3 linked regions of the Ovis aries genome follow. The protein of the gene in region 1 interacts with the protein of each later gene in a biochemical or structural test. Links are inferred from orthologs where the notes say so. Each region holds a gene or a part of one and is shown on either strand. Other genes may lie near its edges. The genes, in order: ARF6, CYTH2 and ARFIP2.

Region 1 (2,072 bases):
GCACGGGGAAGGCGTTCGTTGGGGGAGCGGGCGGTCCGTGAGCCCCACCCCTTGGAGCTCCGTAGAGGATCAGCTCCCCTGGATCGAGTTGGGAGTGGAGGAAGTGAGAGCGCAGAAGAAGGAACGCATAGAGGAAGGAATCGCTAGAGGAGCGACAGACAGGTGGGAGCTAGTCAGAGTCCCAGGTTCGCGGGGGTGCGGGTTGGCCGCACCCGCGAGACCTCCGGGCCGCCGTAGCCCCGCCCCCAGCGCGTGGCGCCCCGACGCTTGGCGCGCGGGCCGCTCTCCTTACAGAGGTCGCTCTTGCCCGAACGGTTGGACTCCCTCTGTTGCGCCTGCGTAGTCGGGAGGGGAAGTGAGGCGGTTTCCTCGGCGCCTTTTCCGGCGGCGGCAGCGGCAGAACTGGGAGGAGGCTGTGGAGGCCGGAGGGAGCCCGCGCGCGGGGCGGCGGCTGGAGGTAACCTCCTGGGCTGAGCTGACGAGGCGGGCCCCCTCGGCTTCCACTCTCCGCTGGGGCTCCCGCAGTAACTCCTTTTTCCCTCTCTGTGTCTCCGCAGGCAGCGCACCGAGTTCCCGCGAGGATCTATGACCTGACCGGGCGCCAGAGCCGCGCTGCCTCTCGGGTGGCCTGGGTCGGTGGTGAGCGCGGTGCTCGCGGACCGGGGACCGGGCCGAAGGGCCGCAGTCTTCCAGGAGAAGGCGGAGGAGCGGGAACCGCGGCGGCGCTCGCGCGGCGCCTGCGGGGGGAAGGGCAGTTCCGGGCCGGGCCGCGCCTCAGCAGGGCGGCGGCTCTCCCGGCGCAGACTCAGCGCCCGGCGGCCGCGGCGCCTGGAGGAATCAAGTTGTGTGGTGGGTGATGCCCGAGTGAGCGGCGGGCCCGGGCCTCTGCCCAGAGGAGGCGACTCCCACGCAGGCCGCACGGGCGCCCTCGCGACTGGGAGGCTCCGTTTCTGTTTCGCGGCTGCGGCGGCGTTGTTGGCGGAGGGGACCCGGGACACCTGAATGCCCCCGGCCCCGGCTCTTCCGACGCGATGGGGAAGGTGCTATCTAAGATCTTCGGGAACAAGGAAATGCGGATCCTCATGTTGGGCCTGGACGCGGCCGGCAAGACAACCATCCTGTACAAGTTGAAGCTGGGCCAGTCGGTGACCACCATCCCCACTGTGGGTTTCAACGTGGAGACGGTGACTTACAAAAACGTCAAGTTCAACGTATGGGATGTGGGCGGCCAGGACAAGATCCGGCCGCTCTGGCGGCATTACTACACCGGGACCCAGGGTCTGATCTTCGTAGTGGACTGCGCCGACCGCGACCGCATCGACGAGGCCCGCCAGGAGCTGCACCGCATTATCAATGACCGGGAGATGAGGGACGCCATAATCCTCATCTTCGCCAACAAGCAGGACCTCCCCGATGCCATGAAACCCCACGAGATCCAGGAGAAACTGGGCCTGACCCGGATTCGGGACAGGAACTGGTATGTGCAGCCCTCCTGTGCCACCTCGGGGGACGGACTCTATGAGGGGCTCACATGGTTAACCTCTAACTACAAATCCTAATGAGCATTCTCCACCCATCCCCCGGAAAGGAGAGAAATCAAAAACCCATTCATAGGATTATCGCCACCATCACCTCTTTCAATTGCCACTTTCTCTTCTTTTGAATTTGAACTCTGGAGTTACAGTTCTGCGGTTTGGGGGAGGGGGTTAGGGATTTTCTTTCTTTTTTTGCTTTGCGTTAGGATGCTCTGATCTGACTTTTTGACATGAACACAAAGTGCTAGATGCTCTTGTTGACTTCCAGCAAATGGGATGGGGGAAATATAGCAGTTCTTGGTAAATTCCTTTATAATAATGGTTTGATTTTTTTATCTCGAGAGAATCTTCTTTTCCAATGTATGCTTTTTTCCTTTTTGCCCAGTTTCCTTATCACTTGCTGTAGATGGCTTATTTTGCATTCATGCAGACTATGTTGCAAGTCTGTTTCATCTAGTAAACTGAAAATTATTGCTTAATCAAACTGCTGTTTGTCTTTTATATTTAAGGCCTTTTCGCCCCCTCTTATGAGTTCTG
Region 2 (3,364 bases), on another chromosome or scaffold:
GTCTAGGGTGCCTGGGAGTTTGTGGACTTCTGGGACACATGCGGACGACCTTTGGATGTTGGGGGTGTGTGGGGACTATCTGGACTCCAGGGTGCTTGGGACCTTCTGTGAAGTCTGGGAAACCTGGGGACCATCGGTGCACATCCGGGACATGTGGAGGCCGTCTGAAATGTCTGAGGTGCACAGGACTGTGAGATGCCCAGGGTTTGTGTGGACATCTGGGTTCTGTGGAACCTTCTGGATATCTGTGGCGCAGAGACCGTCTGGGGACAGCTGGAGGGCATGGGGACTGGAGAGTCTGGGAGCATGGGCGTCATTTCTAGCTGTCTGGGGATCGCTTGTGACATCTGGGGTGCATAGGGACAGTCCGGTTGTCTGACATTGTGGGGCTGGTTTTGTGGGCATCTGGGTTGCCCTGGGACTCTCCGTGGGTCTCTAGGGGATAGGAGGCCATCTCTGGGCATCTATGAAATCTGGGGTTCATCAGAGATGACCAGCAGAGCACATTTGCTGTGTTTCTCCCAACTGCACAGAGTTCCAGCCACACCAGAGTTCTTAAGGCAGATGGTCTTCCCAGGAGCGTTCTAAGTGTCCCTACCCCTGTGCCAGGCTGGTGATGGGGGCTTGGCCAAAACTTTCACTGGCTACAGAGGTAGCCACTGTGCAGAAGAGGGGCCACAGCCTCCTCAGTACTTCGCCTCCTCTCTACCCCCACTTGCCCAAGCCCCTTCCTGCCCGTGACCTTGTCCCTATCCTCCCAGGGAAGAGCTGAATCTGGCAGTGCTTCATGCCTTCGTGGATCTGCACGAGTTCACTGACCTCAACCTGGTGCAGGCCCTCAGGTGAGGAGGATGGGATTGAAAAGGCAGGAAGGGACCTGTCAGGGCTTTCTTTACCAGTGATGATCACCCCCTCCTGAAGGCAAAAACAGAACGAAAACTTAGGGGATGGATTGCACGTGAGTGTTGCCAAAGTCCACAGTAGAGCCTCCTTCAGGCATAGCCGTATCCAGGCACTTGAATGGAATGGGAAGGACAGCTTTTGATTGTGCTCGCCATGGGGTGGGCGCTGCTCGCAGCAGACCCTCCTCCCACGTGACGGCAGAGGCCCCAAGCAACCATCTGTTCCATGCAGCAACCTTGGTAGAAAGCAAGGGCGTTTGCATATACATCATCCAGAGCTCCTGGCCGGTGCTCAGTGGTCAGGTTGGCCACAGGTGTGGCGCCCTCACTGGCCAGTTCCTCCCACGGGCACTGAGAGCAGGTGGGGCACCCCACCAGTTCTGGATCTACCCTCGGCTCGTCTCTGCCGCAGGCAGTTCCTCTGGAGCTTCCGCCTCCCTGGAGAAGCCCAGAAGATCGACCGCATGATGGAGGCCTTTGCCCAGCGCTACTGCTTGTGCAACCCTGGGGTTTTCCAGTCCACAGGTAGGGACCCAGACCCTAGGGTCCTGGGGAAGGAGGGAGCTGGGGGTGGGGGGGGACTTGAGCTCCTGAGTCCCGGGGGCTCGCATGCCCCAGTCGTCACCCCATGACTGTCTGGTGCAGACACGTGCTACGTATTGTCTTTCGCCGTGATCATGCTGAACACCAGCCTCCACAACCCCAACGTCCGGGACAAGCCGGGACTGGAGCGCTTCGTGGCCATGAACCGGGGCATCAACGAGGGCGGGGACTTGCCTGAGGAGCTGCTCAGGGTCAGGCCCCCTCCCCAGCCCCCTCAGCTCTATCCCCCTTTCTCTCAGTGCCTGAGCCCCCTTCCACCCAGGATCACTGCCTCGCCCACCCATGGACTGCATGGTCACACTGGCCTGCCCAAGTCTTCTCTCTCTCTCTCTCTGGCTGCCTGTCTTTGTCTGTTTTTCATTTTATTTTTTCTTCTTTTGCGCCAGGCAGTATGTGAGATCTTAGTTCCCAACCAAGGATTGAACCCAGGTTCCTGGCCCTTTGACTCTTTGAGGGCCTTGGTCTGTCCCATTTTCCCCCGTCTGTCTGTCTCTCTCAGAACCTAGCAGCTCTTCCACTGTCTCCATCTCTGCATCTTTTTTGTTTCTCCCTCTCTCCTCGCCGGAGCTCCCTCCACTCTTCCCCCTTCTACGTCCCTTTCCTCCCCAGGCTCCTCCCTCCCTTGGCCATCCCACCCGTGGTCTCACTGACTCCCAGTGAGCCCCATCCCCACTGCAGTGGCCCTTGGAGGATCCCAGGAGCTCTGAGGTGCTGACTGTGCCTTCACCCCTCAGAATCTGTACGACAGCATCCGAAACGAGCCCTTCAAGATCCCTGAGGATGACGGCAATGATCTGACCCACACCTTTTTCAACCCGGACCGGGAGGGCTGGCTCCTTAAGCTGGGTACGTCCCTTCCTGACTGCTGGCTGCCTCTGAAAGTGGGGGAAGTTAGCAGGCCCAGGTTTTAGACTCAGCTTTCGCACATAGCCACTGTGTGACCTTAGGACAATGATTTGACCTCTCTGAACCTCAGTAGCCACATCTGAAAAGTGGGGTTGAGAACGAGATCGGGTCTCTTGTGTTGGGCCCAAGCCCGGGGCTGGCCTTGGAATCGGTGCTGCCTCACCCCTTCTGTTCACCCACACAGGTTTATGAAACCCCTCCTCCGTGCCGGGCCCTGGTGTAGGGACTGAGGACACAGCCAAGAACCAAAGGGCACAGGCCATGTCTGCTGGGAGAGTGTTCATGACTCAGGCTGCCCTCAGCTGTAGCAAACAGAACAACCCAAGCAACTGGGCCTTTTACCTTGCTTGTCAGGAACTCTCGGGGAGTCCGCGGCAGACCCACTCTGAGACTCCTGTATTTTTATCCCCACCTCCTGTGGCCTCCTCCTCAGCCCTGTAGCATCGTGGCTGTTCTAGAAGTGTCCTCCCTCCCCAGATGTCACCTGTAGGCAGTAAAGAGCCTGCAGAAACGGTCCCGGAATGCCCCGATGCACTTCTCGGCTGGTCGGATTGGTTCCTAGTGGGGATGGGAAGAGCTTCCCAGGTGGCACTAGTGGTAAAGAACCCTCCTGCCAACACAGGAGACTTTAGAGACAGGGAGTTTGATCCCTGAGTTGGTAAGATTCCCTGGAGGAGGTCATGGCAACCCACTCCAGTATTCTTGCCTGGAGAATTCCATGGACAGAGGAGCCTGGCAGGCTACAGTCCATGGGGTCACAGAGTCAGACACGACTGAAGTGACTTAGCACACACTTGGAGAGGGGATGCACCTTGGCTGACAGGAGAATTGGGAGCCCCTGGCTACGGTGGGATGGGTGGGACAGGGGCCGGTCCCCCTTGGAACATGTGGCACCAGCGGACTCTGGTTCAGTTAGCAGAGGTCCGGCAAGGGCAGCTGGCTGAGGGTTGGAG
Region 3 (2,709 bases), on another chromosome or scaffold:
GGGGGGACTGGGCCCGGGCCCTCCCAGGCAGTCACCCCTCAGCCTCCCTCCCTCCCTCCCTCCTGCAGCCCAGAGGGAGAACCCCTCCAGGGTGGGCCCAGCCCCGCCCCCAGCAGCACTCACCTGTGGAGGCAGCCTAAGGGTTTGTACAGAGGCCCAGAAGTGGGAGGTGGTGGGGGAGGCGGCACACTAGGTGCCTCACGAGTAACCCTTCTCTGCATTGACGAGAATGCCTTCTGTGCTCAGCCTAATCAGAGCCCCTCCCTTGCCTGCTGCACTAGCTTTCCCTATTCCAGTCCTGTGAACAGACCCCGTACTCCCACATTCCAGCCCCAGGGTGGCCCCACTAACTTTCTGGCTAAGAGAGCCTTGCTGGAGACAGTCCTGAGTTGTTCCGGTGTCATTGGCTGTTTCCTCCTGGGAGAGGAGGGGGAGGAAGGGCCCTTTAGCTCCAGTCAGGTGGTGACTATTACTCAAGGCCTGTCCCTTCCTTCTGCCAGGAGGAATTTGGCTACAATGCAGAGACGCAGAAGCTGCTGTGCAAGAACGGAGAGACATTGCTAGGGGCTGTGAACTTCTTTGTCTCTAGCATCAACACATTGGTAACCAAGACCATGGAAGACACTCTCATGACTGTCAAACAGTATGAGGCTGCCAGGTGTGGGCACTGGCAGGGCCTAGGGTATTGGGAGTTGGCTGGCATGGGTGAAAGTTTGAGCTTTAGGGGAAAAAGAATTGAGAAAAGTAGGAGAGTATGTGTGGAGGGCAAAGGGGTGGAGACCAGCCCATATCACCCCCTCCCCAGGCTGGAATATGATGCCTACCGGACAGACTTAGAGGAGCTGAGCCTAGGCCCCCGGGATGCAGGGACGCGTGGTCGACTCGAGAGTGCCCAGGCCACTTTCCAGGCCCATCGGGACAAATATGAGAAGCTGCGGGGAGATGTGGCCATCAAGCTCAAGTTCCTGGAAGAAAACAAGGTGCTAACCCCACCCCTTTGACCCAGCCCACCTTTCCATCTGTACCACTGACCTTCCCCTCAAACTCCCCATCACTGAATGGGGAAATGCAACCTGGCTAAGGACTGGGAACATCCCCCAGCCCACTCAATCCCTGGACCTTTCCCTATCACCCTCCCTCTGATCCGTGGCCCTTTTCTATTAGAGGATTTGGCTGCTGATCCCAAGAACACAACTGGGAAAAAACCACCCCTTGAGCTTAGGTGCCAGAACCCCTGGCCCAGCCAGTCAAGTTAGGTTTCTTCTATTACAAGGCTTTTATCCCTTGACTCTCTTGGTGGAGTTCAGCCCCTACTCCAAAAGCACCATCAGAGCAGAGTCCATGTGCCCCTGATCTGGGTTCAGGATCATAGCCCCTCAGAAAGGGTGTCTGAGTCCAGTCTCAGTTGACCCTGCTGGACCCCCAGATCAAGGTGATGCACAAGCAGCTGCTGCTCTTCCACAATGCCGTGTCCGCCTACTTTGCTGGGAACCAGAAACAACTGGAGCAGACCCTGCAACAGTTCAACATCAAGCTGCGGCCTCCAGGAGCTGAGAAGCCCTCCTGGCTAGAGGAGCAGTGAGCCACTCCAGCCCAACCTGGCTATCAAGAAGGACATCGGGAGGGGTAGTCCCAGGGTGGGGGAGATTTGGACCTTGCCACCTGCACTCTGGTTTGGGTTCCCTTTCCCTGGCTGGGGCCTGACAGGGGGCCTGCAGGCCCAGCAGCTGCAGCCCTGTCCTTTATCTTCCTGGCCACTGGGCTTCATTCCCAGATCTTTTCCTTTCACTCCACAGCCAAAGGCTATGACAAAACCACCCCCTGGCCAATGGCATCACTCCTCAGGCCTATCCCCAGTTTCTGGGGTGTGCCCCCTGACCAATGGCAGAGCCTCAAAAGGCCCTGTCAGCCAATGGCAGCTCTTCTTGGGCTCCCCTGGGCCAATGATGTTGCCTCCAGTACCCTTTGTCCCTCCTCAATGCGTGCCCATTGCAGAGAAGGGGACTGGGACCAAAAGGGTGGGGATATGGGGAGCCCCATTTTTGGCCGTGCATCTGAGTGGGTCTCCCCTCACCTGCCCACCCAGTTTAATTGTGCTTAGAGCCCTGGAAGATTGGGGCCTAGCACTAGGAATAAACCTTTCATAAAAGCAGGCCCAGTGAGGTCAATTTGTGGGGGATTCTAGGAGGGTGGTCTGGGTGGATAAATGCTCAGTCTAATACATCAAAATCCTGCCATTTCAGGAGAGCTGGGGCCAGATAGCTGAAGTCACAGGTTTCTGGAGAGCCTAGTCCCCTCCCCCAGCCCCAGAAGGAGCCAAAGCTTTATTTGCCCTTTAGGCTTGTGCCAGGAGAGCAATGTGTCTTAAAACACAGGGCCCAGAGGGGGTTGGGCCTACCAACCTCCATCATCTGTTCATTCATACAGCAAATATTTACTGTACTGAATGCTTTCATTTGCTGCTGCTAGACCCTGGGGAGACATCAGGGAATAAAACATGGTCCCTGCCCACAGTGCTTACGGCCTAGTGGGGGATAGAGGCAAGTAACCAGGCAACTGCAATACAGTGATAAATACTAGGATACAGAAGTGTGGGGAGCTATGGGAGCACCGAGGATGGGTGCTGGATGGAGCCTAGATGGATGGAGGTGGGGGTGTCAACTTGAAAGGTGAGAACTGAGGGTAACTAAATGACCAGGTAAAGAGTAA

The links.
Region 2: the proteins of ARF6 (region 1) and CYTH2 form a complex in vitro, tested with the Homo sapiens proteins (3 studies listed by BioGRID and IntAct, with this or other methods). The link is inferred for Ovis aries from reciprocal best matches to the Homo sapiens genes ARF6 and CYTH2.
Region 3: the proteins of ARF6 (region 1) and ARFIP2 form a complex in vitro, tested with the Homo sapiens proteins (2 studies listed by BioGRID). The link is inferred for Ovis aries from reciprocal best matches to the Homo sapiens genes ARF6 and ARFIP2.

The regions. Positions count from the first base shown.
Region 1 is NC_056060.1:41,107,656-41,109,727, forward strand, and holds ARF6 (ADP-ribosylation factor 6), read left to right. Parts: upstream 1-1,031; coding exon 1,032-1,559; downstream 1,560-2,072. UniProt on the Homo sapiens protein: GTP-binding protein involved in protein trafficking that regulates endocytic recycling and cytoskeleton remodeling. GTP-bound form plays an important role in the transport of multiple palmitoylated proteins form the Golgi to the plasma membrane.
Region 2 is NC_056067.1:54,900,609-54,903,972, forward strand, and holds part of CYTH2 (cytohesin-2), read left to right. Parts: intron 1-761; coding exon 762-842; intron 843-1,314; coding exon 1,315-1,427; intron 1,428-1,547; coding exon 1,548-1,696; intron 1,697-2,239; coding exon 2,240-2,351; intron 2,352-3,364. UniProt on the Homo sapiens protein: Acts as a guanine-nucleotide exchange factor (GEF). Promotes guanine-nucleotide exchange on ARF1, ARF3 and ARF6. Activates ARF factors through replacement of GDP with GTP.
Region 3 is NC_056068.1:46,314,187-46,316,895, forward strand, and holds the end of ARFIP2 (arfaptin-2), read left to right. Parts: intron 1-500; coding exon 501-1,001; 3' UTR 1,002-1,426; coding exon of another isoform or gene 1,427-1,582; 3' UTR 1,583-2,152; downstream 2,153-2,709. UniProt on the Homo sapiens protein: Plays a role in constitutive metalloproteinase (MMP) secretion from the trans Golgi network. May have important functions during vesicle biogenesis at certain cargo subdomains, which could be predominantly utilized by secreted MMPs, such as MMP7 and MMP2.